Coturnix japonica: one gene and its partners. The protein of the gene in region 4 interacts with the protein of the main gene of each other region in a pairwise test. Links are inferred from orthologs where the notes say so. Each region holds a gene or a part of one and is shown on either strand. Other genes may lie near its edges. The genes, in order: BEND7, VAPB, TRIM23 and USP20.

Region 1 (7,632 bases), on a different chromosome or scaffold from region 4:
GTAACTAAGTGGCATAGCTAACCTATTAACCTGTCACCTATGCAACTATGCAACACCTATGATCTCTAGTTTACCTCTTCACTCTCCTCTTCCTTTCCAAGGCCACTTTGAACTTCCTCAGATTCCAAAAGGAGTAGAAATCACGTCACAAATAGGACAGTCATCAGACTCTTCCCACTCCTCTCAACCTTATGTTGATTCCTTGATACGGGAAGTAAAACCTCTGATCAAGTTTTTAACAATTTTTTTCTGTATTTATATATATATATTTTTCAGCTGAAAAGCTGAAAGATCTCTTCAGAGAGCAGTACAGTTCTCCTCTGGTCTAGGATTCTTCAGTCAGTTTTGTCCTATGCAATCTCACTTTAAGAGTAATAGTCAAAGCGTTGTAACTGCACACACCTGTGCTGCAGATGAGGCTGGAATCAAAGGAATAGTTTAGGGCATCCTGATGTAAAGGATCGCTGTTGTTGTTAATACTGAAATATGACTGAATAATTATATTTGATTGGTTATTGATCTACACGTAAAATAAATTAGTAACTACGCAAAGCAGCTGATTGTCAGTACAACTAGTATCAGTCAGAATGAGGAGGGGCTATTTTGAAAGTAACAATAAAATAGTAACTAGGAAATTGCCAGGGATAATCAGGACGACTTGAAGTATGTTGCAAGACAAAGCCTTTATTTAGTTAGCTAATTTCACGGCATTTTGAAATACACATTACTCAATGGCTGATCTGATTGAGGAAACACTTTGTGACTATTCTTATGTATATGTAAAAGTGTGCTGAATTTCCCATATTTTCACCAGGAAAAACAAAGAAAATGAACTATGGTTTCTTAATATGTAATGATAATAATCCAATATCGAGACATTAAATGAAATAAAAGATGAACCCATCAGCTGACTGAACTGCTCTTTCTGGATCCAGTACGCTTTATCGTAAGTCACTTGGCTTCCACAGAGCTGGAACTACACAAAGCATCAAGGAATTAAGGCAACTTTCATCCCTGTGTTTCTCCAGCTACAATAATGGTAGAATCAACTAGATCAGGTTGCTCAGAGCCCCATCCAGTGTGATCTCGAATGTTCCCAGGGATGGAGCATCCACCATCTCTCTGGGCAACCTGTGCCAATACTTCACCATAAAAAGCTATATTGGAACGGTGGCCCATGGCAACTCAGTCTAGTTGTAGGTTACCAGCCCCAAAACACCCCCAAAAGAGGCTTGCAACTTACTGCAGATGGACACTACAGTAGCCTTTGAGTCCTTGAGGTATTTTATTTTATTACTTCATGGCTGAGCAACATTAGCAGTATAGGATGGAACAATTGTTTTGCAGTTATTGGATCCTCCTACACATTCTGTCGATAACTAGAAGGCTTTGACCTATAGTCACCTTGTCCTAGTTTCTAATTTGCTTTTATGCAAATGTGATTGCGGGATCACAGCCTTGGTATCCAATCTGGCTAAGACTTTCCTAAATGAAAACCACAAGATGGTAGCACATTCCAATGGCAAACACAGGAGAAGGCCCATCATGTGAGCTGAGCAGTAAACGAAGGCCTTATGTCCCATAAAACTCCTATTGTCCCAGTACAGATGAGAGTCAAATGCTTTAAGCCTGGTAAATAGAGTTAGCAGTTAGCAGACAGGAATCAGCAGACTGGGGGAGAAAAGAAAAAGAACAACAACTCTTTTTGTACACAAAATTCAGGCGCGGTGCTTCTTGATCTCTGATCTGACTTCACTGCGCCCGCCCAGAGATTAATTGGACCCACATCATTTAGGAAACAGCGTCTGACATCCAACTACCTTTGCTGCTTCAGCATTCACCCAAAAATATGCAATGCAGGATTTTAAATAGTACGTTAGCCCAGTTTCCTCTCACAAAGTCTTACAGAGAAGTTTAGGAAAATTCCAAAAGTAGCATATTGATTGCCTCTGGGATTTTCCACTTAGCAATTTAATAGAAAATTACACCCTTACCCAATCTGCAAGGTTTCCATAACCTCCCTCATGAATTTAATTTTCCAGAGTCTAATAAATTTTTACCATTAGGCATATTTTCTGATATTGCTTCACCATTAAGCCCATTTGCCTTTTTGGAACTGTGGATACTCTCTCCATGTGATGCTTGGACTGCACCTTCCACAGGTGAGTTCAGGTCTGTGTCTGTAAGCAGCACTACGATACAAATAATGTTATTAATTATCATTATTGTTAATATTAACTACTGTTAACATTCACATTCGTTTTCCTCTGAGCAATTTTCTAACCCTTAAGCGATGGGGTCAGTCAATACAACTGGAGCCAATAGAATTCTCCTGGGTACTCTCATTAGACCAAGAGATCGGCTTCTGCTCAAGTGTGACCATGTAGCTATCTATCACTTACTCCTCTCCTTGTCATGACACAGCCTGACTACATGTAAAACACAAGATGAAGACTGGGAGCTGTGTTTTGGTTAACGGTGTCTGGGTACTCTGTAGGCACGCTATGCTGTAAAAGCTAAAACTGCACCAGAAATGCACTTAGTGTAACGTAAGGGAAATAAGCGAGCCAGGAGTGTGGCTGGAAGCATCAGCTGGTGGATAAAGCATTAAGTTCAGCTGCGTCTGGATCATCCATATGGCTGTGGTGACCTGCTGGGTGGCACTCCTACAGAAGACTGGGACTCTTTACTATGGGATATCACGTTTAACTACTGAATGTGAAGCCTGGCTTAGAAGACAGCACTCTGCAAACAGGCACATGGTTGTGATGAGCTCGTGGGCTCCAGCCCAGCCTTGCTGCTGGGGTATTTGAACTAGATTTTGCACAGTTATGGAGCAACAACTTCAATACCACAGAGCTCACCACCACAGAGCTCAGCCCGGGCCCGGCTGGGATCGCCTCCTATCACCCCCAAAGTTCCCCTCCGGCCCTGAGCGAGCCTTGGGCCCTGGGCAGGCCCTCGGGGAGCCCCGAGGCTGCACAGGCCGCACCGAGGGCCGCCGCTCCGTCGCAGCCGGGGCCCCGAGCCCTGAGGGAGCGGCGTGGCTCGTAGGAAGCGGCGGCGGCAGAGGGAGCCAGCAGGCGGCTGAGTGCAGGGGTGTGCAGGGGCGGGCGGGAGGCGGGATGGGGGGGGGACACAAAATGGCGCTGCCCTCTCAGCCCCTCTCCCTCCGGTCACACTCCGGCCTCGGGGCCAGGCCGCCCGCGGGGCCAACAGCCTCCCCGGCCTGGCGTGAGGCGGCGGGCGGGCCGGCTGTGAGGAGGGCGGGCGGCGGCCTGCGGAAACAAGCCGGGGCCCGCTCGGTGGGGCTCGCCGCCTTTCCCCAGCAGGTGGCAGCGGGGTCCCGGTGCCGGCAGAGCCATTGCGGGCCGCGCACCCGGCGGGGGAGGCGGCGGCGCCGCTGGCCGGCATCGCCCCGGGCTCCCCCCCGCCGCCTCACCCCGCTTCCCCCTCAAAGTTTGGGGCGGCCTGGGAGGGCGGGCGGCGCCGCGGGGAGGCGGGGGGGACGGAACGAACTTGTCCCGTATCCTTTTATTTGCAGTTGAAGCCGAAAGCTCCCGGGGCCGCGTTTATTTTTGCTGATTAAAAAGACGGACCTTGGTCCTGCGGCTCCCCGCCGCGCGGCCGCCCTCCTCGCTCCCCTTTTTCCTCCCTCCTTTCTTCCTCCTCCCTCCCTCCCGCCCGCCCGCACCATGGAGTTTACGGAGAGGAAGAGAAGCAGGAAATCCCAAAGCTTTAAACTGATCAACGAAGGTAAAGTGGCGGCGGGGAGGGGGGGAGGCTTTGTGCCGTTGGTCTGTTTGTTTGTGCCTGAAGAGGACTTTTGCATAAACGGGGCCGGGTTTGGGATCGGGGTGTTATGAAATGTGCGTGCTCCTTTCCCTCCAGCTCGGCTGTGTCTCTCCCTCCTCGTATTTATTATTTAACTCTGGAATCAACTCTCCCAAGCGTTGCAGCTCTTCTTTATTTCATCGTGTTTTTTTTAACCTCCCTCCTCTCTCCCTTGTAAAATATATATATGTGTGTGTGTTCTGCGTTCCTCAAAATGAAGAAAATAACAAGAAGGAAAAAGCCACCCCCAAAAGGTGGACGTGTTTTGTTTCTTTCCAGGGTGATCTCCTACCGAATAAAGTTGGATCGCGTTTCATTGCAAATCCTCCTTTGGGAGGGGGGTGGGGGGGGGGGTTGGAGGGAAGGAAAGGTGAAATGGAGAATTAGGCGAAATAATGACACTTGGGCAGCACCGAAGCTCTTTAGTATTCAACTCCTGTGGGTTGTTGTGTGTGTGTTTTCCTCCTCTACGCACGTATTTCAAAGCGAAGCCCCACCGAGGTGTCTTTATTAAAATCCACGCTGCTAATTAATCGTCCGTGGGTGAGGAGGAATTGCTGGCATGTAACTTGTTCGCTTGGTGCCTGTTTGCTTTTTGAAAGGGGGGGGGAAATAAATAAAAGAAGACTGTTTTAAAAGGGATCCTTGGGGAAAATGTTTGGGATTCATGTCGGGAAATGAAACGCAGCTCTTTGATTCAGTCCTCTGTGAGCTTGCTTTCAAAGCTACAGCTGCTGGAAGTCATTTTAACAGGTGGACTCGCAGCCCCAGGCTTGGTGTTGGCCGGGTATGTCGAGCTGCTCCAGCTGATTGTCTCTTTTGTCCTCATTGATTTGGTGGGAGAATTCTTATTTTTCCTCTCTCTATGTATCTTTTTGCCCCCCCCTTCCCCTCTCGTGTCTTGAAGTCTTGAGCTGAAATATTTGCCAGCAATGCTGTGTGTGTCGTGCATGCCAAGTTCAGGGCAGGTGACTGCTTTGGGATAATACAGCGCTTAGGGGTGAGTGTGTGTGTGTGTGGGGGGGTGACTTTTGGTACTCGCTGAATGGGGGAGGTGAGGTCTTTAAATGAGTGTGGCAGAATCAGATGAGAAGCAGAGAAACGTGAAGGTGGAAACGAGCTCGCTTGAAATAACTGCTTTAACTCTAGTAGGGTTTGGAGCATTGCACATGCTGCTGCTCAAAATAGAAGGACAATGACTGGTCAGACTTGTCTGAAATTCATTGGAGGTTTTGTAAACATCAGCAGAGCCACCGGAGGGGGTTCATTTCTATCAGGAATAGGTTTGCTTTGTGAGCTTTCTTAGCATCAGATGTTCCGAGGCAGTTTGTGCAGGGCTGGAAAGTGAAACGTGCAGCCGAACAAAACTGAAATTGAAGCCTCGGTTTTTATTTCTCTCCTCAAAGTGCTGCAAAAAGAAGGTGTGCTCTATGGCAAATGTATTAATATTGTGCAGATTCTCAGTCCTAACAGGATTAAACATTCCTCAGTGCGTAAGGTGATCTGTTTAACTTGGTTTGAATTGGATAAATTCATTTATGGTGGTTAATTATTAGCGGTTCTTACTTTACCTGGGGTCTGCTTTTGGGTGTAGGGATTCAAATAGAAAGGCATGCTGAAAGAAAAACGCATCCTGGAGGACTGCGTTCACACTTGGAGGGTGGGGGGCATAAGCATCACGTTTTGTATGTGAGTCTGTTCTCACGTAGCCTCTTTCTATCACAGTTGATTATGAAGCTAATTATGGATAAATAGTTGTCTCTTGTAATTGGCCTTTGCCTCTTGCTGGAGTCGCTCAGTAATGTCACAGTTTAGTGTTTACTGTTGTGAAATTGATATGGATTTCACAGCGCCTGGACTGTGACACGAGGCATGAGAAGGAAACCAAAGAGAAAATGGGATGCTGGATCAGTCTGTAATGCAATCTGTTAATAACCCTGCCATCTAAGGTGCTCAGTCTGTCCCCAGAAGCTTCAGAGCACCCTATCAGTGTGGTGAGCAGATTGAGAGGGAGTGCACCTCTGGGGTGCAGAGCAGTGACTTCCAGGCTGCAGCTGTAGGGCAGAAACGGATGGTGCCCAGCTGGATGCACAGAGAGAAGTGGAGGAGAAACCACGTGTAAACTGTATGTCTGAGGTATGCAGATCTGTAAGTCATCTAATTCCGAGTTCCTATGTGCACTCTCTAGCAGAACTTGCAAAGAAGGAAATGTAAAGAAAAGCTAATGGGCTCTGAGTGCAGTCTGCATAAATTCTATACTTACAGCATTTACTTCCTCAATACTGCAGCTTGTATTTCACCTTTACCCCATACACGTCAGGCAGCCCATATACTTTTCTCCCACTTCATGGTTCAGAAAACCCCAACGCTACTTACTTGATTAACACCTCACTGCTGACTTCAGTATGTTCTTTTCACCCCCCCCCACCCCCAAAACTTGCTGACATTTCTTTCCTTTGTGGTGCTGCGTTATGCTTGATTCTGGTTTACTTACTGGGTTGTTCCTCCTCTTGAGCCATCATGACAGTCACACTGTACAAATAAACAGCGTGTAACAAAAAGAATGTTTGACTTGTTGGAGACCTTTAGAATTCTGAAGCTGATTGTTAGGTCAGAAAGGCAGGTGTGTTCCTCTTCAGAGGAGGAGCTGCTGCTGCTGCCCTTCCTTTCTCTCGTGCCTTTTAATTGAGTCCTTCAAAATGCTCTTCCAGGAGTTAATCCCTACCTGGCTTTCTGTGAGGCAGGTAAACGTAAGAACTGGTTTTCAGGGGACTAACAGAGTGTTGGGAGGGCTTCAGCTCTCCAGGAGCTTGGTGATGAGGCAGCTATTTCAAGACGCTGCATATATTGTTCAGCCTTGAGTGACTTGCCTAAGGACAAAGTGCGTGCCGGTAGCAGTGTCAGAAATAGAATCCAAGAGTTGCCCTTAGATGGTGGGTTTTTTTCCATGTAATTACAATTCTTTCTGTACACATGTGTAAACAAAGCTGTTTTTACTGCACACGTGCTGGTGATTAAAATAGAGACCCTCACAGCAAAATATTATTTCATTTGAAATACAGTTAATTTCGTGTCTATCCTGTAACACAGATTAGAATATAAGATGCTAATATATATCGTTATGCCTGTCGTAGGCGTTAGTTTCTATAAGTAAATATCCTTAAGCCTCCTTTCCTCAGAACTCAGAGGCTGTTAACATCGAGGTATGGCTGTAAGATGTGCCTGTGATGCATCTTGCTGATTTTCTCATTGAGATGAAGTTTGGAAGTTCGCTTGGCTTCTAGGAAGGTGGAGTTTTCGCCGTGGATCTGCTTTCTGTCTGTAAAGCAAGAAGCCAGATAATTGGCATCTGGTGGGATAATTTGCTGTGAAAATGAACACAGTAATTTAGGACAGGCGCAGCTATTCCCTGAAATCTGTGAAATATTTTATCTGAGCTCTCCAGTGCGAACAAAGTTATTTTGATTTTATTATTATTTTTTTTTCTAGGAGGTGCTGATACAGAGCACATTTTCTGTGGTTAATTTGATGTACGCAAGATAAACTGTAGATATATTGATAAATTATGCAGTAAAACTGTAGCAATGTGTTCAGTGTTCATTTTTTCCAGATCACTTGAGTTCTAATTTTTTTTATCGTTTTTCATTCCAGATTACCATCATGAGATATATAAGATCTCTGACTACGGCAATGATGTTAATGGGGAGACCAAAGAAACAGAACCCATTTCTTTAGGTATGTGCTTGTGTTGATTAATTTCAGAGCAACGTAGTGTAGCCATTTGCAATTAGGGAGGAA
Region 2 (7,540 bases), on a different chromosome or scaffold from region 4:
CACTGACTGCCATTACACTGCCAACACCAGAAGGGCTCTAACAGTTAAAAGGAAACACCACATAAATTCTCAGCTTAAAAGATGCATATTAATTACACTAAAGAGGCAACTTCTCACAACACTGTCAGCATTTCGCAGCCATAAACAAAGCCTGTTCCGGTGGCAGCGATGAGAAATCCCTATTTATCCAACACAGGATGAGCACAGTCAGATCCCCGCGCACACAGGCTGCAGCAGGGCGGCAGAGGAGCTGCCAACTGCAGTGTCTATGAAGTGCTGAGCCTCTCCTTGAGACCGCTGTAACATAAGCACATCAGGCCAACCACCCCCATGCACTGCTGGGCTGAGCAGCCTCAGCTCTGTACCTGCATTCAAGGCCAGGCTGGATGTGGCTCTGGGTAACCTGGTCTGGTGGTTGGCGACCCTGCACATAGCAGGTGGGTTGAAACTAGATGATCACTGTGGTCCTTTTCAACCCGGGCCATTCTATGATTCCACAATCTGTCCCACAGGAGGTCTGCACACCCGCTCTGCCATGCACAGACCTGGCTACAGCGTACAGATGCACATGGAGCTCCAACTCTCCTGCAGTACAGCAGCCACTGGTCTGTGCCATGCAGGCTGCAACCAGCACTGCAGGAAGGCCCCAGGGCCCAGCACAGCCCTCCCTGGAGGGGAAGCAGCATCACCAGGCCTGCAGCTTCATGGGGAGCTCTGCCCGTCCTGCTCTATTGTTGTGGCCTTTTCCGCACAGTCACACAGAGATGTATCGCACGCATGCAGGTGGAAAAATCACACGCTGGAAACGGGAAACAGCATTTCCAACAGGCAATAATTTATGCTGGCAAGCAAGGGATAATTTATCCTGGCAGTACTGCTACTTGCCACTTGGGGAGCAATGCAACAGTGAGTGCTGAGTCATTAGTCCCGGCTCACCTGGAGCGAAGCCCCCTGTGTGTGCAGGGAGCAACCTCAGGGGTGAGAGCCCTCTGCCAACCTCCATCATGACACTGAGCTGCAGAGAACGCAGCATTCAAGCAGCTAAAGATCCAGGCATGTTGTAAAATGAGTTATAATCTAACAGTATTGTACTTGCTGGAATTAAATCTCCTCCAGGTGGGCCCATGCCGCCAGAGGATGGATGTGCTTCACCAGGAACAAGGCAGCGTCATACAGCAGAGACATGGCACTGCAAGGAGCGGTTTTATCAATGTGCTTCACAGAAGGCACCAGAGCTGCACAGCCCTACCTGAGCTTGCAGGCAGTACCTTCAGCCAGGCCCCTGACCACTGCAATCTAACTTACCATCCTCAAGCAGGTCATTGGATGCTCTTTAGTCCTAGATTAACAGAAAAGGAAACGTACATATGGAACAAATATGGTCCTTTTCATCGCTCATTACCACTAAAGCCTGAACAACAGCCTCGTGCTTTTCTCACCCAGGCTGCAGAACTGTGCTGACCAACCAGAGGAAGTCAGAGCTACCAGCATCAAAGAGCACAGCGAGGAGCAGAGCCCCAGTACCAGGAGGGGCACATCCTGCAGCCTGTCACTGTGCTACAGCACACGGCCGTGCTATTTTGGAGCACACGTGTGATGGTGTAGGAGGAGGAGGTGGGGAGGAAAGACAACCCCTGTTCATGTTCACATGCTACAAAAAAAGCGTTCTGGCACAAATATCTCCTCTGCAAAAAGACACAAAGGCGGTGTTGTGAAAGAGAGCTCCAAGCACGCTTAGAGGAATTGCTGCAAATGAAGGGCTACAGAAGACTCCTAATAAACATCTTCAAATCCTTTAATTGCAAGCGCTGGCTGACAGAGACTGCTGCAGTCCTGCATTGGGACACATAGAACAAACCTTCACTTTGGGATCTTATTCCTACATCCTACTGTCAATGTCACACCTCCCTCTTCAGCTTAAGATTCAAGAATCATGCTGTAACAACAGAGCTGCTAACAGTCTGCTTTATCCATCCCACTGCATTATGACCAAGGCTGCTCCCCACTCCTGGTGCTGTGGTACCCAGCCTATGGTCTCACCTCACCAACACCGCTGCCCTGAGTTTTCCATGCACGGCAGCACCGCCGCCGTCTGTCATGCATCAACTCGCTCCATGCAGAGCGATGCTCTGCAAATAAACACCGCTATTTACAAAGGTGAGAAAATCACAGCTGCCACAGTGCCAGGCAATATGCCATCGCAAACTGCACGACGGGGACTGCTTAGGGCAGACGTTACTTGGTGAAAGCTTCAAACGGGGCCTTCCTGAATGAAGGGCAGCGGTCAGCACTCCTGTCAGGAAGGACTGTAGGGCAGAATTTATGGCCCAGGCAGATGAAGGCTATCCGCAGCATTAAGCCTATCTGAACATTAATATTTAAGCACGCATTAAAACTAAGCCATTTGCTACTTGCAGCTAGTCAAGCTGTGTTTTACATTACAAGGAATATATGTTGCTGGCCGAAGGTTGGACACAGAAAAGCTCCGTGGCTGGTGGATTTAACACCAGTGGCTCCTGATGGCAGACCCAGCAGCACTACCCCAATAAGCAGCCAGCCTGATTCTGTACCTGCCTGTAAAGCACAGCCTCAAACCACAGCCACAATCTCACCACTGGTCAGCACCAACTCAGGACACACGTTTTGCCCACCCGAGTTTGGATCTTTCTTCTGGTTGGAAGTAACGTTACTTGCATCCAGAACAAGATGAAAATCAGCCCTTAGCATAAACAATATTGGAACAACAGTTTACTTCTTAAGCATGTTTGATTCTGCTGCCATAACAACATGCAAACACTACAGCTTACCACAAGGACACGTTCATTCCAGACAGCATTTATTACCAGGCTTTTTTGATAAGCCCACTCTGCACTATTAGTCCTGATGTGTTTATTGCTAAAACCGGGTAGAGGCTTCCCCTAAGTGTAAAGCATTACACGAAAGCCTTGCAGATAATGAGCAGTTTAACCCGGCGCCAGCAAATAAATCACTATTTTTAAATAAAGGCTCGTGGCCAGGTATTCGTATGAAGCCGTGAGTACCTCTGACTCCGGGAGCATAAATAAACTTGCCGAATGCTTCCTGGTAATCCCCGAGCGTTGTATTACAGCAGCACTATCTGTCAGGTTACAACCTTGGCATTTCAATGCCAGCAGTAACTCAACCCCATTCAAAACCTTTATTTAACAAAAAACCCCGAGTTCTGCGCAGTCAGACGGCGCACAGTGCACACACCTCATGGGGTGTTACGAGGCGCTGAGCACAAAGCACACAGCCGTGTTTCCCGCATGGAGCGGCCCCAGCCCCGCACTGACAGCTCCGCGTCCCGCAGCGCCTCGGGGCCGGATCTCAGCGGGCAGCGGCTCCGCGCTACGTCAGCCGCCCAACCTTCCCGTCCCACCACACCTCCGCGCAGGCCGAGGCCCCTCCCGACGCCCGCGGTTCCCTTCTCCCCCGCCTTCCCGCTCCTTCGAGGCCCGGCCCGGGGCCTCGCCCTGCGGGGAAGGTCAGCACGGGGGAAGAGCGAGCGGGGCCGTGATGCCGTGAGCCGGGAACAGCCGGGAGCCGGGACCTGCGGGCGGCGGCCGCCTGCCCCCACCCCGCGCTGTCCCCATCGGGCCGGGCCACGCAGCACCGCCCGCAGCGCGGGGTGGGTGCGGGGGCACAGAGAGGCCCGTGGCGGCGGGGATCCCGAGCTGGGAGCCGCCTCTTCTCTTCCCCCGGCCCCGCCCGGGGATGCGGTTGAGGCCGCGGCGATGAAGGACATTTTCGCGGCGTCGCCCAGCCCCGGCCCCCGGAAAATGGCTGCCGCCGAGCGGGGCCTGAGAGCGGCCGATCCGCGGGGCCGGAGCGGGGCAGCGGCGTAGGACGGGCGGATCCGCGTTACCTTTGAATTTGAGCTCGTGCTGCGGTTCCAGGCTGAGGACCTGCTCCGCTTTCGCCATGTTCCTCCTCCTCCTCCTCGGCGGTGGCGGCACCAGGCGGAGAGAGGAAGGGCCGGGGAGGGAGGGAGGGAGGGGAAGGAAGGAAGGAAGGAAGGAAAGGGGGGAGGGAGGAAAGGAGGGCGGGCAGGGCGGTGCGCTCACCCCCCCGCAGCGGTGAAGGGAGCGGCGCTGCGGGCGGCGGAGCGGAGCCGGGCCGGGCTGGTCGAGGACGGCGGGCAGCGAGCACCGGGCTGGGCTGGGAACGAGGGAGGAGGAGGCGGGGCGGAGCGGGGCGGGGATGGCGCAGCGCGGAGCGGGGACGGGCTGCGGATGGAGCGTGAACCGCCGCGGGGATGGGGGCGGCTCCCGCTGCGCTGGGGCGGGCGGAGGGGACGGAGGGGAGCAGGGATGGGAGCTGGGTGCAGCCGGACGGGGTGAGGGCAGGGCAGGAATAACCCACGCGGTTCAGTTATCATGGAGGTGCTGGTGCCGCTTTAGCACCCGGTTCTGTTCGGACCCCCGGGCGTGGCAATGTCCGAGCAGCGCTGCGGGGCCGCCAGTGACTCAGCTGCTCCCGAGCGCTCCTCCACGATAAGGGAAAGAACAACGACGGGCCGAGCAGCGCCCGACCCGCAGCGTCAGAGAGCGGCTGTGCACGCAATGAGAGCCGAAGGGAACGAGGGCGTGAGTGCAGGGCAGGAGCGGAACGGGACTGGGAAACTGGCATCAAGCGCTAGGAAACGCTACCTTGGTCATGAATAAAAGCATCATTAAAGTCAGCGCAGTGGGTTTAAGGCTCTCCAAGAGTAAACGCTAGAAAACACTCTATAAAATAACTTAAATGTACAGGTTGGTCTGAAATGAAATACTGCTTTATTGGTGGCCTCAGGCCAGGGCAGTACAGCAGCTTACGTCCTCCAGACCCACTCCTCTTCAACATTCCAGAAGTTCATAAGAATCCATAATCTGTTTCTGTAACACACCAGACGGAGCAGGACCACGGCTTTAAGGTCCTAAAACCTGATTGCTTCAATACAAGTTAATGGTTTCCTAATTGTTTGCCAAAAAAAAAAAGACAAAAAATGGTTAAAAAGAACTGGAATAAAAGGGCCGTCGGCACTGCTGGCAATGCAAATGACTGATGGACACGTTAAAATTAACACCACTAAATGGGACGATGACATTCAGTGCTGTAAGGAAGCCTGCACAGTATGTCTGCAGTATTTATACCACATCAACACTTCAGCTGCTCTTGTCCATGAGAATCCTTGTTTTTCACCCAGTGTCACCTACAAACACGTTTCATCCTTTGTGGTTGTTGCAACTACTTTCATTCCACACCAAAATAACCCCCCGTATGTATTTAGTACAACTTCATTTTACATCATGCAAATGAAACTTGGTAACACTTTCTAGCCAATAAATACGGCAGGAGTTGTTAGGTAGCAACATGCTTAAATATCCATAACTGCTGCTCTACCATAACTTCCTTCTCTGTGTTGGAGAAAAAGTGGTCACAACATCACATATGTGAGTTGGTTAGGGGTTTTTTTTATATATCTGTGCTATTCTACTTTATTAGATTTGGAGCCCAGGACGTCCTTATTATTTTTGTTATTTTGAGGAGTCTAATTTATACTATAAACTACAGATTATGTCATAAGATTTTATTAGACCTCAAATTAAGAAGTGATTCAGTTCACTCACATTTTGGAGTAGAGTTTTTTCTTGGCTGATATTCTGGAAACATGATCCTCTTCCATGTCATCTCTTTGATTGTTTTACTTTTATAAACAGATTCTCTCCCTGCGCTATAAAACACAGCTGTCCATAAACATCCCAAGTAATTGGTAGAAAGAGATAAGCTTTATATATATATATATGCAAGTTAATTGGAACGTAATGAGAAATAAGACAGAGGAAACCTTATACAACGTACAGTCATACGTAATAAAAGTCCCCAAAGCAAACAACAGCTCAGCATTGCTGCCTGCACCCTTCCACGTTCTGCTTTTTCTGACAATATAAAGTACAGCCTTCAGTGTTGGATGCTAAAGGCTACGCCAGGCTGGAGCACCTTATAAGAGCAGATTGCACTGAGCAGCTCTGAACTTACCTGCTTGGATAGCGAGGACTCCCCTGTGTTCATCCATGCTGAAACACATATAGAACACAGCAGGTTTTTTATGCAAAGTGGACAACTTAGCAAGTCTAATGAAAGTAGTTTTCTGGTTGTATGTAAATGTGCACACAGTCAGTATCGTTCAGACCAGAGTAACTGAAATGGATCCGTGTCACAAAATCACCTGCAATGCCGCACCGTTGTCAGTTAACAAAACAACCTTCATCTCATTAACAGATCAGCCACTCCAAGGCTGGAAGGCACACGTTGCCAACATGCATTTCTGATTAACAGAAGGGGCAGATTGGGATGAATGCCACTGGGGAACTCTGAAAGGCACTAAGGAAGCTTTGGACAGCAGCGGTTTTAAAGAACACTTCTCTTTTACTTTAAATTCTATGGAAGTCTCTATCCACATTAAATGAAAACCAGGATACAGGTATTTCAGGTGAAGGAGCAGTTTTAGGAGCAGGATTCTGGGGGGCTTATGCCTTTGAAGGCTGCTGTCAACATGTTACATTGCATCACACATTGAAACAATAAAACTACATCTTTTAATCACCAAACAAGACAAGGGAGATAACTCTAGGCAAGCCCATATTTCTGTGCTGTACATAACAAAAGCAGCTTAAAGCAACCACAAAGAAAAAGAGGAAGCAAGCAAGCAGCAAATCAGAACAGAACCCTTTTAAGCACAGCAGCCCCCCAGAACACTGTGCAGATATTAAAAGCACTTCACATTCTGATTGACAGAAACCTGGTCTAAGCAGTCAAGAATTCAGCTTTTGATGCAGTCTAAGCTAAACGCAATGTATTAAATAACTTGATCCCATTAGAATCTGTCAGGCCTCGCACAAGCTGACAAGGCTGTGTGTGGCCTGCAGTTCCTCAGCCATCATGCTGCAAAGGAAGGAAGCACGAGACAAAAGCTGCATTCTCTCTGCCATTTTTTCCTTGTCCCTTTCTGCACAAGCTCGTCTTTTGTCCGTCTGTGTATACATAAACCATGGAAAACCATCAGCTTTTAAATGATCGCTAGTGATAGCTCTTGGAAAACAGCTACGTGAACTATCACTTACATCCACTTTGCAGTGGTATTGCTTAACCTTCCTCTCCCACAATTCTATTCCGACTTTTGACAACACTGAGGATTTTGGAACCACTCAAACAAGGTCAGCACGTTTATAAACAAAGCTTTTTATTAATAAAATGTTTACACCTTTTTTGCACAATACATCAGACTGGTAGTGATTCAGCATGTTATTACACTAGAAAAGTTTATTATGAATGCATAAGCCAAAAATGCCGTTTACATTATGCCAAACCAACATTTCTTAATTGTCATTCTATGCACTACATGGGAGTATAACAACACAAACCAGAAGGAGAAAACAAAAGCCTGGTTTTCCTCATTAGCATCTACAAACCAACAATACAGACAAACCTGTACACACCCTCGGGACCAGCCCAAGAGAAGACTAGAAAAGTCTCAGAA
Region 3 (6,849 bases), on a different chromosome or scaffold from region 4:
TCTGTTTTATTGCTAGAGGTGATTGGATGATGACTGTGCCTTGTACTTCTGGAGTTCCTCCACTTAATCACTTCACAAACAGCAAGAACATAAGCATCTTGCCCACTAGGAAATTTAAGTTAAAAAAATCCTTAACTTTCTGTATGCTGCTTCTTCCAGGACAACAGGGTACATATTGGACCAAAAATGGAAATTCGAGTTGTGACTCTAGGATTAGATGGAGCTGGCAAAACAACTATTTTGTTTAAGTTAAAGCAAGATGAATTCATGCAGCCAATTCCAACAATAGGTTAGTCATAACAATTTAAATGTAAGATTTTTCTGAATGTTTTATTTATCTGTGGAATTTGCTTCTTTTACGTTCATGTAGAACAAGATTATAAAACTTGAATATTTTTTAATTTAGGTTTTAATGTTGAAACAGTAGAATACAAGAATCTGAAGTTTACTATTTGGGACGTTGGAGGAAAACACAAGTTGAGGCCCTTGTGGAAGCATTATTACCTCAATACCCAAGGTGAGACTAATAGAACTTCTAAACCACGTTTTGTCTTTTAACTTATATGTCAGAACCAAAAAGATTATTAGTAGAGTATTTAACTGTTAAAAAACAGTTTGTCTAGTGCAAAATTCAGCTGCTAGATTCATGAGCTAAATATTTTAATCCAGTTGTTTATTGTGACAGGGGTGCATTCTGCATTAACCCATCAGACAGTTCATGGAGCCAAACAGAATTAGAATCTAAGGTTTTGTCTGACAACAGGCAAGGTGCAGTGTTCCAAAGTTTGCATAGTGAGAAATTGTGCTTGCCAGATACAGACTTTAAATAGCACTAAAAATGAAAATGCTTGGTCTTTAGGAGCATCTAGTTTCTCTTGCAAGAGCTGAACATTAACACAATGCATGTGTATTATTAGATTGGATTTTAATATATATAGCATCTTTAGGAGCATCAGTTTTTTAAAGTAAACTTTAAAAAATTCTACAGTTTTATAACTTCTTCCTTGGTATCATGGGCTTCAGATTATAGATTTCAGAATTAAGCAGTTTATTAGTAAACCTCATTATAAGTATTGCTGACTTGGAAATTAATGTTATCCTTCTGTAAGTGCTCAACAATTATTTTCCAATTTAGAAACGGGTTTCTCTTCACAAATTTGCTGGAAATTGCCTGAAATACTTAGGAGTGACAAGCATTGATTTTTAAGTGTTTTGTTGTGTGTATTACTTAGCTTTTATTACCAACTTCAGCGCTTTCAATCCCCTCATCTTTACAGACTTGGAGACATTTAACTCTGGGTTTCTGTTGTCCTGTTGGTGCATATCTGCAGTAGGTTTTGTTTGATTTTGGATGTTTTATGTATTTATTTTATTAAAATAGAACAAGCTTAAATTCTGTCCTTTAGCTCTGCCTCTGAACTCTCCAGTTTTCAGGCACTGTCATTACCCTCTGATGTACTGTAAAACTTTCTGCTGATGTGTTGGGTCTAAGGAGATCATCTCTATTATGTGTAGTCCATAGCTCAGGAAAGCAGTACTCATTTGACTTTAGAGTTTTTATTGCTAACTAGGGCAGATTGAAACACTTTTGTGGGAGTCAGTTGAAATGAATCAAAAATAGTTTGAATGGAGATGCTCAATCCTCACAACTTAAATCAGGTTTTAAACCAAAACAGTTAAAACGTCAGACTTTGTTAGACTAGACTAAAAACTGCAGAGTTTTTCTTTGTTTTAAGATGAATTGCAGATTTTTTTTTATGACGTATATTGGCATATATTGTATTTCTCAGTCTTCCTGGTCTTGAAAGTGAAGTTGTTTGCTGCTGAGAGATTTGGCATAGAGGACTTCTAGGGAAAAAAAAAAAAAAAGTTGTAGGTTTCAGCTGACTTTTTGCATACATTTGTATACAAAGTGTAATGTTTGTTTTATTTCTCTTTTATAGCAGTGGTGTTTGTTGTTGATAGTAGTCACAGAGACAGAGTCAGTGAAGCACACAGTGAACTTGCAAAGTTATTAACAGAGAAGGAGTTGCGGGATGCCTTGCTCTTGATCTTTGCTAATAAACAGGTACTTGTGATTTTTATTTATTTTTTCACTCTTCAGTTTATGAAATTCAAACTTTCTGAATCCTTTTCTGTAGAAAGGGAATGCTTATGTGAGAAGGAAAAAATGTACGTGTTCTCCTTATGTTTAATTTTTGGAAAATAAACGATACTGGTGTACTTACTAGATTCAATAGGCAGTTTTTGTTTTCTTATACTTTATAGAAAACTTGTAACTGTTCGACTTTCATGTCTGGAAAGCTTTCATGTGATCCATAACCTCAGTCTGAGCCATCAGTGAAAAGTCCTTCAAACATAGCTCAGAAGAGTAATTGAGTCTGTCTGGTTCTGTTGCAGGACGTAGCAGGTGCACTTTCAGCGGAAGAAATTACAGAACTGTTGAGTCTCCACAAACTCTGCTGTGGCCGTAACTGGTATATCCAGGGCTGTGATGCTCGAAGTGGTACAGGACTTTTTGAAGGACTAGACTGGCTGTCAAGGCAGTTAGTGGCTGCTGGTGTCCTGGATGTGGCTTAATTTCAGAACAGATGTTTGTAGGTTACTGTTTTGTTTTGTTTGCATGATTTAGGATTTTGTAACCAAGTCTGCTGTCTGAAGAGGGGACAGCTCTGCGGTTACAGAAAAATGTAAGAGTTCATGCAAGATTGGATAATTGTTTCAGTAAGCTTGTGCAGTTAGTCTTTTTGAAACTTGGTATGTGTACAAGTAGTTAAATGGGCTAGTTAAATGAGTGCCTTGAAATTCTTTTTGGTGGAATTAGCTTGTTAAGATTTTAAATTCTTATGAAATACGTTATAATTTATGTAATAACCATAACAAGGTTACGGTAGTTAGTTGATGTCAGAAAAATTCTGAGTGATTCAGAAATGCTTTCCCAAGAAACTACTCCAAAATTCATAGCAAGCTATTAGAATAGCCAGCTCTGGTTGTGAGCCAGAAACAGATGATGCTTCTCTTAGAACTAAGAAAGGCATTCATCTGAAGCTTGTGTTGAAAATTACACACAGGTATAATGCTAATGGTAAATGTGTCCTGCATTATTTATTAGCTTCCTTGTTGCTTATTGTAAGGAAGCACAACAGGGCAGAGAAAACTGAGAGTGGGGAACAGTGTCGTAGAACGATGCAGCCAGGTGGCATTGTTTAGCTGGCTATTTCCAAGGGGATTTTTTTTAGTGCTTTTTTGTAAGTCTACACATTATAAATTATTTATGGATAGAACAAAGTGATATTACATTGAAAATGTATTGTCAATGCTTGAGGATGTAATCTGCCTTCAGAGATTAATTTTATTCCTCAAGAAGTCAAGTGAAGTTTAGAAAAAAAATGACAAAACTCACACCTTTTTAAAGAAGTGTGGTGTAATATCGGTCCATCTGTGTCCTCTTATGTAGAAGTCAAGCCTCCAGAATAAGGTAGTGGCCTTTACTTACTAGGTAGTGTGATGTAAAAAGTGTTCACTAATTACAGCCTTTACAAGATCAGATGGCAAAATATGATGGAAAATTTCTGTATTTAGATGAATTCTTACTCCGTGTTCCACATTCAGCTGTGTCTTCATTTTCAGCAGTCAGTCCTTCATAAGCTCATGAAATGCAGGTGTGACACTTTAAATTTAGAGAAGGTTGTGATCATTAAGAGGCATCTTCCTTATCTGCAACACATACAATTCAGATAACAGTTTTTTTTCTGACTGATATCCATTGAAGAATCTCCTGACCTCCTCTTCTAATACGCAGTCACTGCTGGTTGAAGAAACCAGCACATGACTCTCTTCATCTCAGTAGGAGAGATAGAAAGAACAAAGCCAATAGATCAAAACAGGATAGTGTCACTTCTCTTGCTGCAATTGAGGTGAATAGGAGGAACCAGGTGGTAGAAGTGATCAGCCTTGTTTCACAGATAGGTAGGAGGAATTTTCTGTCGTAGTAAAAAACACACTGACCAGTGAACCTCACCCGGTAGAGAAAATATATTTCACAATCTATGACTATGGCTTTCTTGATATTATAGCAGCTTAATGATCTTTTCCCACTACGTACCTTAGGTAAAAACCAAGAATGTATAAATAAATAATAAAGTATGCTTGCACTTTTCTTTGAGAGGAAGCAGTTAAAGCAGCTACTTCCACATAATGACATTTGTTCTTAGTTTTCTCATTTCTTGTATCTCATGTAAATAACATGAATTGTAGCTTCAGATTAAGCAGGTCAAATGACTTGGAATGGTAGCTGAAAGAACACTAAGCTTTAAAATAGTAGAAATTTCTTAAAAGGGCTTCAGTGCCTGTATAGGTACTGAGAAGGGGTAATAACTCTTCCTGCAGATAACCTTATAAATCTAGAAATAGTTTACAATGGGCGGAAGGATGCTTTTCCAGCACCAAGCTGAAAATGGTTCTCCTTTGCAGCCTGTAAGTTCTTGCACGGTATGCTGCTGGCTGCTCTCGACTTCGGCATCTGCTCAGCCTGCAGAGCAGTTTCAGGTCTAGTTAGTGCTGACTGTCCCTTCATAGCTCTTATTCAAGTACGAACAAGTTCTGCTAAGTGTGGTAGGTACCTTTCTCTGGAATACGGGGAAGACATCTGTTATTTAGAAAAACTTGAACCTGTACTTTTGTTATAGTGGGCATATGCCGGTTTTACATTCCCCTTGAACTGTGATTCTAAATCACTGCTTTAAGATGTTCAAAGTTTGTGAGTTGTGTTCTTATTTGTTGTTTTGGTTTTTTTAAGTGTATATTTGAGGGCACAGGAAAAGTACTTGTACATCTTTTTGAGCACAAAAGATTGCTTGCTTGTGATGTGTGGAATACTACCATAAAGTGTTTTTTAGTGGAATTTATTTAAGATGACTTCAAGTAACTGTGAAGGTATTGCATTTGTCTGTGAACTCTTGAGTGTAAACTGGTGCACTAAGAGGTTTGTCTGTATTATAAGTTAATAAATACTATATATAAACTGCTTCTGTTACAAATTTAAGCTTGTTTCACCAGTTCTCTAGAACTTGAGTTTCAGTGTACTGACTTGCGCAATGGAGGATTCCCTCAACTAGAACTTACTCAAGCATTTCTATGAGGATTATTTGAAAAGACTGATTAACACTTTGTGGGGATATTGAGTTATTTGTGAAATTAAGCGAATGCAACATCCAGTGACAATGTTGTGGCTTTCTTTAAAGACTCTTGGCTCAGTAACAGTGTGCTTAGGATAACTGGAAAAACTGTGGTTTGTCCCATCACATGACGTGGTGATACCGTATGCATCTTCAAACTTATTGTGCTTTGTGTGGTACGTGAGGGTTTCCTTCTGAGACAGTTTAATTTCTGAACTGTTGGATGTTACCTAATGACTTTTGAAGAGAAAGGGCTCTGTTAATGGAAATAATTAATGAGCTGCTGCAGACTGAGTTGCCCAGAAAAAAAAGTAGTGATATTTTTTTTCAATAAAGTTATCTAAAACTTCTGGAGATCTAGTTTTCTTTTAATAATAGGAGTGCACTAGAAAGACAACAGATTTATTAGGTAACATTTCATATACTGTGAAATTCTCATCTAATTCCTCAGAATACCCTTCTGTGCCAGTTTCCCTCCCTGGGATAGCAGTTTCCAAAGGCTCTGAATTTGATTAGCGTGCATTACATCACTGTTAATTGTTTAAAAAACAAACAACCAAAACCTATCACAGTCATAAGCTCCTGAATCTTGTGGTCTTAGGTGGACATCAACAGTCAAAAATAACACTACAGTATCTTAGAGTACAGGATTGTATTTAGCCACAGGTTCACAACAGCTGGATGTGAGTAACCATGTCAGTTAAGTATTTTAATAAAAGTTGTAGTGTTTGTCTGATTTGGGGGTAAAAATCAAGCCAGCAACAGCATGCCTGGGCTAAAATAATGAGAAATGAAACATTAAAAAAACACAAGAAAATCATACTGGCAATGCCAGTACTTGTGCAGGACTTAATACACTGTTACTGCGTGATTTGATCCCTTGTTCATTTAGTCTAATGGACAGGGACACGTACACAACTGTCTTGGAAGATAAGGTAAATTACATATGTGATCCTAGCACAGCCTGATCACATTCTGATTACATTATCTTACAGTCTGATTTTTGATAATTTGATAATTTTTGATGTGTGTGTATACTGTTGAAGAGCTTATGACTAGCCATCTGACCTCTATCTGACAGAAATAAAGGTACAGACTGTACTCAGATCATGTTCTAAAGCTGTTATCATGAACCATGGTGTGTGTTTGAATCTTCAGTCTTGCACAGAAGAGACAAAGAAGAACAGTAGACTTTGTAAGAAAGAGGCCAATGTTTTTATTTTAAAAAGGAAAATTTACCAAGAAATACAGGCTTAGGGCACTTTAGGTACATGAAAAATAGTTTCTACATCCAGGAATCATCAAAAAAGTTTTTATTCCTTCTGTGTTCTTTCCTGGGTCCCACAGCGACGACATTCTTCTGTTTAAGCTGGAACCTTCACCACCTGACTTACTTCACTGTGATGTTAATGATGCTGATATCCTCATAGGGTTTATCAGTTTTGGGGTTGACTTTAACATTAGAGATTCTCTGAACAACTTCCATTCCTTTAGTCACCCGTCCAAACACGCTGTGTTTGTTGTCTAGCCAAGGCTGTTTGAAGATACAGCAGAAGACAGAAAAAGCAGATTAAAATAGAAAGCAGCATGTAGGTTAGATACCAAATGAGTGACCTAGAGTAAGTGAGAATGAGTATATATTGAACACTACTGATTTTACACTTCTGTAAGT
Region 4 (7,597 bases):
AAGGGAAAACCACCATCTTTGGAATGATGTTGAATTTTCACTGAGGCCCCACCTGCTGTGCATAGCCTCGGAACATGGGGTTGACGAGTTTAATTCCATGAGACAGGCTGCTTGGAACGACATAACTCGGCCTGTTTAGGTATGGAGGAAAAAACAACAAAAGTTAATTTGCTTATCAGGCCTGGAGCCTGTGTAATAAGGAACAGAACAGGGTGTGGTAACTGGTTAAGGAGGACCCAAGATAATTATGCACCTGCAAAGCCTGAACTTAATTTATACATCACCGAGCTGATAGAGAAACCAAGAGAGAGAAAACTTCTCACAGTCATTTCACTCTCTCCTTCCAGAGAGAACCTTCCCTAGAGCATGCTTTAACTTGAAGCTCTGTCCACACCTGGAACTGTCTCAAGTGATTCTCCCCAGAGCAGGGTTTGGCAGTGGGTTACGTGGTTTGATTTTGCAGCAGCATGTTTGACAGGTGGGCTGGTGAGGGACCAACCAGTACTGAAGCAAGTCAAAACCAATATGAAATTGATGTAATAGTGCTTCAGCCTGCTGCATAAACACACAGAGCTGCTCTGCATCTTGCTTATCCCTTATTAGTGACTAACACAAAGCAAACACACGTTGCCACTCAGATTCCTGGCTTGATTTTTTCCCCAATTTATCTGTTCTCTGCAACTAATATCTTTAAATTTCAATAGAGCTGAGCTATTTTACATTGTGTTACACCAGTCTATAGTTTGAACCAATAGAAAACATTTCTCAACAAGTCACTTGTGTTTTTCATCTTCTGGTATAAGCTCAGTGTCAGATCTCTATCACAGATAAGGGAATGCATCTATCCCTGAAGGCACCATTTCTTTTTGCTGATAACATATTTCAGAACTAATGTAAATACAAAATCTATACACGTGAGAATAGTGTGACAACTCACCGTTTCTTATGCCAAACCTCAGACACCAACTTCTGGTAACTTTTGCATAGTGCTGGTTTTTTATCCGTACGGACCAGGCCACCACATTCCAGGAAAAACTGTGTGAGAGGTGGGCTGCAAGACAACAACAAGGATTCAGAGCACAGAAATTGCTCCTCTGCCTCTATTGAAAGACTGATCAAAGCTTAAATGCATCCCTTTTTGAAAGCATGCTTGTTTTTAAGTCAAGGGGAGAAGCGATTCTAGATGCAGACTTGATTTCTGCCTAGAAATGAACAAAGAAGGCTGATCTGAATCAATTCCCAGCACAGAGATCCTGAAACCAGCTGTCAGCAGAATGGCTAATGAAGATCTTACAGTGTGAGTTGTTAGAACGATACCACTGTGGAAAACAGAAAGATTGCATGTTTTCTCACATGGCAAACATGCTTCTGTCATGGTGGAGTTTTACTTCCAGCATTCATCTAGAGACAAGTCTCACACACAGCCACAGAGTTGGCTATTCACCCATTTTCCTACTGCAGAACTTCTGTTTTCCTAAATACTACATTGTTCATATTCCTTTTTCTGCAGCTAGCCTGGCTGGTTTATCCTTGCACGACTAAGGAAGGTGTCAGATCAGAGGTGCTACTGCTGATACGTAGTAAAAGACTCTACTAAAGGCCCTAATGCCTACCAGTTAGAGAGAGCCTGAAGTGCTGCATTCATGTAGCAGGAGTTCCCAAGATTTTTCATTCCAGTAAGGCCTAAAGCACAAACAAGAGAAGCATGAAACACTTTCCAGAAGTGCTGCTTTCTACATTCGTTCCCAATGGGAAGATAATGTGACCCTTTCTGGGCTCTGCACTCTGCTGCTAGGACCCTCTCAGTGCAGGTCCTACAGATTGCAGAGTCACCCTCACAGCTCTTCCATCAACTACATGCAGTTACCTCTTGGTTTCAAGTCATCGTCCTCTGATTCGGATTCACCTTCATCAGCCACTGCAATTGGAACAGCTTTCAGAGGGTGAGCAGGCAATGGAGAATCCTAGATTAAAGACAGAAAATAACCATCAGCAAGAGTCCTCCTTCAAAAGACGAGCTGCGAGAAGTATCTTAGGTGTAAACTCAGCCAGCCTTTAAAATGGCACACTCAGAAGAACCAGTTGTACTGCCTACCCTTCTCAGTAATGCATATAGAGAATGGAAATGGCACCACTACTGCTTCCAGTGTTAATAATGGAAGAGGCACTGGGAACATGCAGTGTCACAAGTAGACACGTTTGAAGTCTGACAGCTGATTTTTTATTTGAAATGAAGATATCACAGCTGTTGTGGCTCCTACCAGAACCAGATGGCCCATATAAGAAGCCAGGAGAGGTTAAAGAAAAACATCAAAATGGATATTCGAGTCGTTGGAAGCCTTCCTGCATGGAGAGTCTATAAAGCAAAGCTATTGGTCCTCTGACCACAGGCAGCCACCTTCAGTTGGAAGAGTTCCTACCACAATAGCAGCCTGAGCAACTTCTTAGCTAATTTTGCAACAAGGAAATAAAAAGCCTGCCAAGCATTGAGCCCTGCCAGGCTGACACACACCCACTGCTTCACTCAACTTTACCGAGGGTGACTGCGTGTGCGCCGCCAGCCGCTGGTCCAGGAACACCTCCTTCTCACAGGCATAACACCAGACCCGAAACGTGGTCAGATTCACTGTCAGGTTGTGCTTTTTGGCCTAGAAATAAAAAGGTGAAGTAATGATTTGAATGGTGGGACAACTTGAAGTGCAGAACGACTAAATTCAGGCATAAGAGGATTAGGTAACAGGAATAACTCAGCTCTCTCTGTCTTTAGATGGACCATAATGAAAAGCTTACCTGTGCATGAAGGGTGCTATGGTCAGAAAAGGACTCCCCGCAGCCAACATAAGGACACCCGATCTAGTGAGAGAAAGCAAAACTACAATGGCACACCAAATGAAACCCTTCACAAAACAGTCTGCAGCCCCAACCCCACCTACAGCTGCAGCTTCAGAACTGATCTTGCCACTCAACTGTTTTTCTTTGCAGGGCTTAGAATAAGGCAGATGACTGGAATTGGTTAATTTAACAGAGAAAACCTGAAATCAGTTTGCACCCACGTAAGTCCTCATTCCAAGACAACTGCTCCAACAGGTTCATCTGACCAGACTAAATGTCCAGGCACTCCAATGTCAAATCAAACTGCCCCTGCCCACCCACACACCCTCTGTCACTCCATTCTGCCCCAAACACCATCTTCAGAGCTCTCACTCTTGCAGCTTCCCCTTGCAGCGGATATTTCTATTGTGTTCACCCATATTTGCATCCATCCCTTCTTGTTTGGTCCAATACAGTTCTTTGTATACACTGAACAGAAATCCCACCGTGTCATGCACACGAACATCAAGCTGTTCTTACCTGAAGACAAGCCCAGAGGTTTGGTCCCACAGCTCCACATGACTGGCAAGTTCCCTGTGTATTCACAATGATAAAAAAATAAGCTTTGTTTGCATGTCTGTCTTTTAAGTAACCCCATCCTTCAGCAGTGAGAAACTTCTCAATGCGACAGGCCTCCCCCGCCTGCAGCTCAATGCACTGCTTAAATCCATGCTTCCAATGCCACGCTTTGCAGTGTGTGTTAGATAAGTGGCGTGTTTGAGCAGGATAAAACGTCAGTGCGAAATGCACCAGATGGGACTGACAAAGGCTTATTGATGGGCCACGTGCAAGGTACAACAAGGGTGGAAAAAAGAGTTTCTGCCTCTTCTGTACAGCAAATAGAGAAGGGGTTGGTAACCAGAACACCCCGTACCTTGGATTTGAGCAGCAGATCATCTCTGGTCACCTCTCCTATGGAATCCAGGTGAGGGCAGATGTCTCTCGTATCCCCCATTGTCACTGCAGGAAGGTGATTTCCTAGGACAAGAAAAGGCAGTTCTGTTTGGTTACAGTCAGCAGCCCACCATACTGGTGTCTATGGGCATTAAAACCATGACTGCTGTTTAAATGAAGCTCCACAAGAGGGAACTGGGCTTAGAAGACCTTTAACTGATAACCCACCTTCAGTGTTTCAGGAACTGCTCATTCAATAGGTGGATTTTGAACAACTCTCAATGAATGCATGGAGCTGTTCTGCGCCGCTCACACAGCCCAGCACTGAAAGCACAGAGGATTTCACAGCTGTGTGCTTACAAACCCCACAGATAGTCTTATAACAGGGTCTGTGCAGCCATCCTGGACTGAAGGAACAAAGCAGACCTGGAAGAAGGGATCACATCCCTGCACTGCAAACACAGCAGTGACTGCAGGCAGCACCTGGGATGAGCTGCTTAACAGCACTGAGAAAGCTCAGGAGCTGCACAGAGAAGGGAAAGGCTGCCACGTAACAGGGATTTAGAAGACAAGCAATAAGAGCACAGTGACTGACGCATAAAAGTGGGACACTTTCAGGCTCTGTGAGTGCATCAGAATAGAGTCTTTTTCTCCAAACACATCAGCACAACCAGCTCTAAATCCCACCTATCAGTGCCACGTCTGCTCTTCCATCTCTCTCCATTTCCTCACCCAGAAAAATCAAATAAACCCTTGTTTTTAAACGAAATCGGGGACCTCTTCAGCTCCCCCCACCTGAGCCTGTATTAGATCCCACGGCATTAGATCACACAGCCCCGTTCCCAGCCCAACACCGCGATGCTGCCGGTCCCTCCCGGCCTTTTCCTTTGCGAAATAAACCGAAAAACGTCACTTTCAGCTCCCAGCAACAACGGGGCTCATTCAAGAATCGTTCAGCTCATTCCTCACCGCCTGCAGCCCGCGGGGCTCCCAAGCATCGCTCATCAAACCCGGCGTTACACAACGAATCCCCCGTTACTCGGTGGGGCCTACGGGCAGCACGGAGCCGGACAAGCCGTGACCAGCGTTTTTACCGGGGATAACCCACCCCAGGCTGAACGTTCCCCCCCGTCCCATTCTCACCTGCTGGGCCCGACCCTGCGGTGTGTAGGGCTGGATGGGAGGCGGTGCTGGGGCCCAACGGAGCCGCAGGCACCGGGTAGAACCGGGGCGGGGCGGGGCGGCCCACAGCGCCCGGTGCGGCCTGCCAGGCTGCGGTACGGCGTCGGAACGGAGAATAGACGTCATCATATGGCGTCGTAAGAAGAGAGAGAGGAGGGAGGGGGGTGAAAAATGGCTGCCAGGGCGTTCAGACGGCGGAGGGAGGAGAGCGAGGAGGATGAGGAGGATGAGCAGCTGGCTGAGGAGGTCAGGTGAGCGCAGGGGATGGGGGCTGTGTGCCTCCCTCAGCTGAGGGAAACGCAGGAGCCATGTGGTTCAGGTATTGATGTGCAAAACCAGCGTAGATTTGGTGTTTAACTGCAGGAATTAAAGTGAATTAAAGCAAATAGAGGCACTGAGTACTGAGGGCAGCGGTTTGGGTTTCTTTCTGCAGGTTAAAGCTCGAGGAAGCCAAAGAAGTGCAGAGCCTGAGGAAGAGACCCAATGGGGTGAGGTAAGGGCTGTGAAGGTTCTATCTGGTATTGTCATGTAATAGCACCCATCTGCTTTATGGAGAAGTAGCTCCATGTTCTCCCTGTGCCAAAGGGAGTAGAGGAGTTTGTGTCTAAGCCTGAAGATGGTGTGAATGGTGAGTTTGTCCAGGTGTGGAGCCCTCAGTACAAGAAAGACATGGAGATTTTGGAAAGGGTCCAGAGGAGGGACAGGAAGATGATCAGGGGGCTGGAGCACCTCCCCTATGAGGACAGGCTGAGGGAGTTGGGTTTGTTCAGCCTGGAGAAGAGAAGGTTGCGGGGTGACCTCATTGCAGCCTTTCAGTACCTGAAGGGAACTTACTCCCAGGAGGGGAGTAAACTCTTGGAAAGGGCTGACAATAGCAGGACAAGGGGAAATGGTTTTAAGTTAAAAGAGGGAAGATTTAGGTTGGATGTTAGGGGGAAGTTCTTTACTAGGAGAGTGGTTCGGCCCTGGAACAGGCTGCCCAGGGAGGTTGTGGATGCCCCGTCCTTGGAGGTGTTCAAGACCAGGTTGGACGGGGCCCTGGGCAACCTGATCTAGTAAAGGTGTATGTTTGGTGGCCCTGCCAGGCAGGGGGGTTGGAACTACATGATCCTTGAGGTCCCTTCCAACCCGGGTCATTCTGTGATTCTGTGAGTGCAGGAAAACATTGGTGTGAATGGTGAGTCAGGTGCAGGAAAGCACTGCCAGCCTGCAGAGTCTGTGCTGTATCCTAACTATGGAAAAATAGACTAAGATTGGAATTGGTCATGGGATGTATTTAGTTAGATTGCTTCTGTTCGGTTCACGTAGCAGAGCAGTAGGTTTATCGGGGGCCCTTTTATATCTTCTCTCTGATTTCCTTCTCTTTCATATAGCATCACTGATCAGCTGATGCAGTAGTTGAAATGGGCGCCAACAACCAGCTTTGTTCCTTTGCTGATTCACTGTAAAGCACTAAAATCTCTCTGCCTGAACTTCTCATCTTCCCAAGACGTTGATAGTTCGTCTACCCATAGGGAAGGACAAGGAAAAATGGCAGCTTAGTATTAATACAAGTGTTTGAGACCTGCTGCTTGATCTAGGGAAGGATAAAGAAAGACAGCATTGTTGGTAACACGTTTCCTTCTATTTCCTTCCTTTTGTCTCTTTCTTTATGGCTAACCAGTGCTGTAGCTCTGCTTGTGGGAGAGAAGTTGCAAGAAGAAGCGACACTTGTGGTAAGTGCTTGATACTTTTGTCACTTTATTGCTAAGATGTAATGATGTGTAAACGTTGGTGTGATCCAATTGATGGCTGTAGGATTCTGCTTCTCGCAGCCTAATGCTTTTTGTCCGTTTTTATCCAGATTTGGAAGACTAGCCTTAAACTAAAGGGAAGCTTCAGGGTTTTGTATTTTATCTTGCATTACAGGATGACCCATTTAAGATAAAATCTGGGGGGATGGTGGACATGAAGAAACTGAAAGAACGAGGCAAGGACAGGTGGGTGCTTATGAGCTCTGAAGGTCTTTCCCTGGACTAGAAGTCCCAGCTAGCAATAAATTAACCAAAAATTGTACTGCTTTGAAGAATGTAATATATTGCACTTCCACTGGCTGCTGCTACCTTAGCTTGTCAAATTAGTTCAACAAAAAACAACTGCAACGGTGTGGTTTTCATTTAGGATTAATGAAGAGGAAGATCTGAACTTGGGAACTTCCTTCTCAGCTGAAACCAACAGACGGGATGAGGATGCTGACATGTGAGTTGAGCTGCGTGTTGTCTGTGATGCTGAACTCTGGGCTGGGTGTCCTCTCAGTTTATCTGTATTATTTTGGATACTGAATGTCTCAGAACAACTTCTTGATTCTCACCTGCTTTTTCACCTTCTGGCTGCTAGACTTGAGAAGGCATTTTCATGCACAGAGTTGGGAGATGCCAGTCAACCAGCCAGTACAATGGTATTAAATTCCAGCAGCAGCCTTCCTTGATGGGTTATGGAAGAGCTTGGGAGACCTTGATCAGAGCTGCAGATATCTTGTTTTATGTTCTTGATGTTAGCTGACTGCTTTTGGATTCATTTCTCTCTCTCAGCCTTTGGGAGAGCAGTGCAGCTGTGTTCAGCAATTAGGTACAGAAAACAGAACTAAATACCACATCTCCCTCGTGGATCG

Evidence for each region.
Region 1: the proteins of USP20 (region 4) and BEND7 interact in binary tests that used the Homo sapiens proteins (3 or more experiments, as listed by UniProt). The two-hybrid records come from large-scale screens. The link is inferred for Coturnix japonica from reciprocal best matches to the Homo sapiens genes USP20 and BEND7.
Region 2: the proteins of USP20 (region 4) and VAPB interact in binary tests that used the Homo sapiens proteins (3 or more experiments, as listed by UniProt). The two-hybrid records come from large-scale screens. The link is inferred for Coturnix japonica from reciprocal best matches to the Homo sapiens genes USP20 and VAPB.
Region 3: the proteins of USP20 (region 4) and TRIM23 interact in binary tests that used the Homo sapiens proteins (3 or more experiments, as listed by UniProt). The link is inferred for Coturnix japonica from reciprocal best matches to the Homo sapiens genes USP20 and TRIM23.

What each region holds. Positions count from the first base shown.
Region 1 is NC_029516.1:6,096,071-6,103,702, reverse strand, and holds the start of BEND7 (BEN domain-containing protein 7), read left to right. Parts: upstream 1-3,422; 5' UTR 3,423-3,695; coding exon 3,696-3,756; intron 3,757-6,492; exon of another isoform or gene 6,493-6,578; intron 6,579-7,485; coding exon 7,486-7,569; intron 7,570-7,632.
Region 2 is NC_029535.1:10,122,531-10,130,070, forward strand, and holds the start of VAPB (vesicle-associated membrane protein-associated protein B/C), read right to left. Parts: upstream 4,070-7,540; 5' UTR 3,945-4,069; coding exon 3,887-3,944; intron 1-3,886. UniProt on the Homo sapiens protein: Endoplasmic reticulum (ER)-anchored protein that mediates the formation of contact sites between the ER and endosomes via interaction with FFAT motif-containing proteins such as STARD3 or WDR44.
Region 3 is NC_029547.1:14,367,284-14,374,132, forward strand, and holds the end of TRIM23 (E3 ubiquitin-protein ligase TRIM23), read left to right. Parts: intron 1-159; coding exon 160-289; intron 290-406; coding exon 407-517; intron 518-1,943; coding exon 1,944-2,068; intron 2,069-2,400; coding exon 2,401-2,580; 3' UTR 2,581-5,531; downstream 5,532-6,849. Other genes in the region: PPWD1 (peptidylprolyl isomerase domain and WD repeat-containing protein 1), read right to left, coding at 6,568-6,711.
Region 4 is NC_029532.1:4,317,684-4,325,280, reverse strand, and holds the start of USP20 (ubiquitin carboxyl-terminal hydrolase 20), read right to left. Parts: upstream 5,037-7,597; 5' UTR 4,909-5,036; intron 4,090-4,908; 5' UTR 3,994-4,089; intron 3,850-3,993; 5' UTR 3,827-3,849; coding exon 3,746-3,826; intron 3,406-3,745; coding exon 3,352-3,405; intron 2,854-3,351; coding exon 2,791-2,853; intron 2,649-2,790; coding exon 2,535-2,648; intron 1,965-2,534; coding exon 1,868-1,964; intron 1,684-1,867; coding exon 1,614-1,683; intron 1,052-1,613; coding exon 938-1,051; intron 132-937; coding exon 53-131; intron 1-52. Other genes in the region: C17H9orf78 (telomere length and silencing protein 1 homolog), read left to right, coding at 5,119-5,198, 5,381-5,440, 6,611-6,662, 6,856-6,926, 7,108-7,185.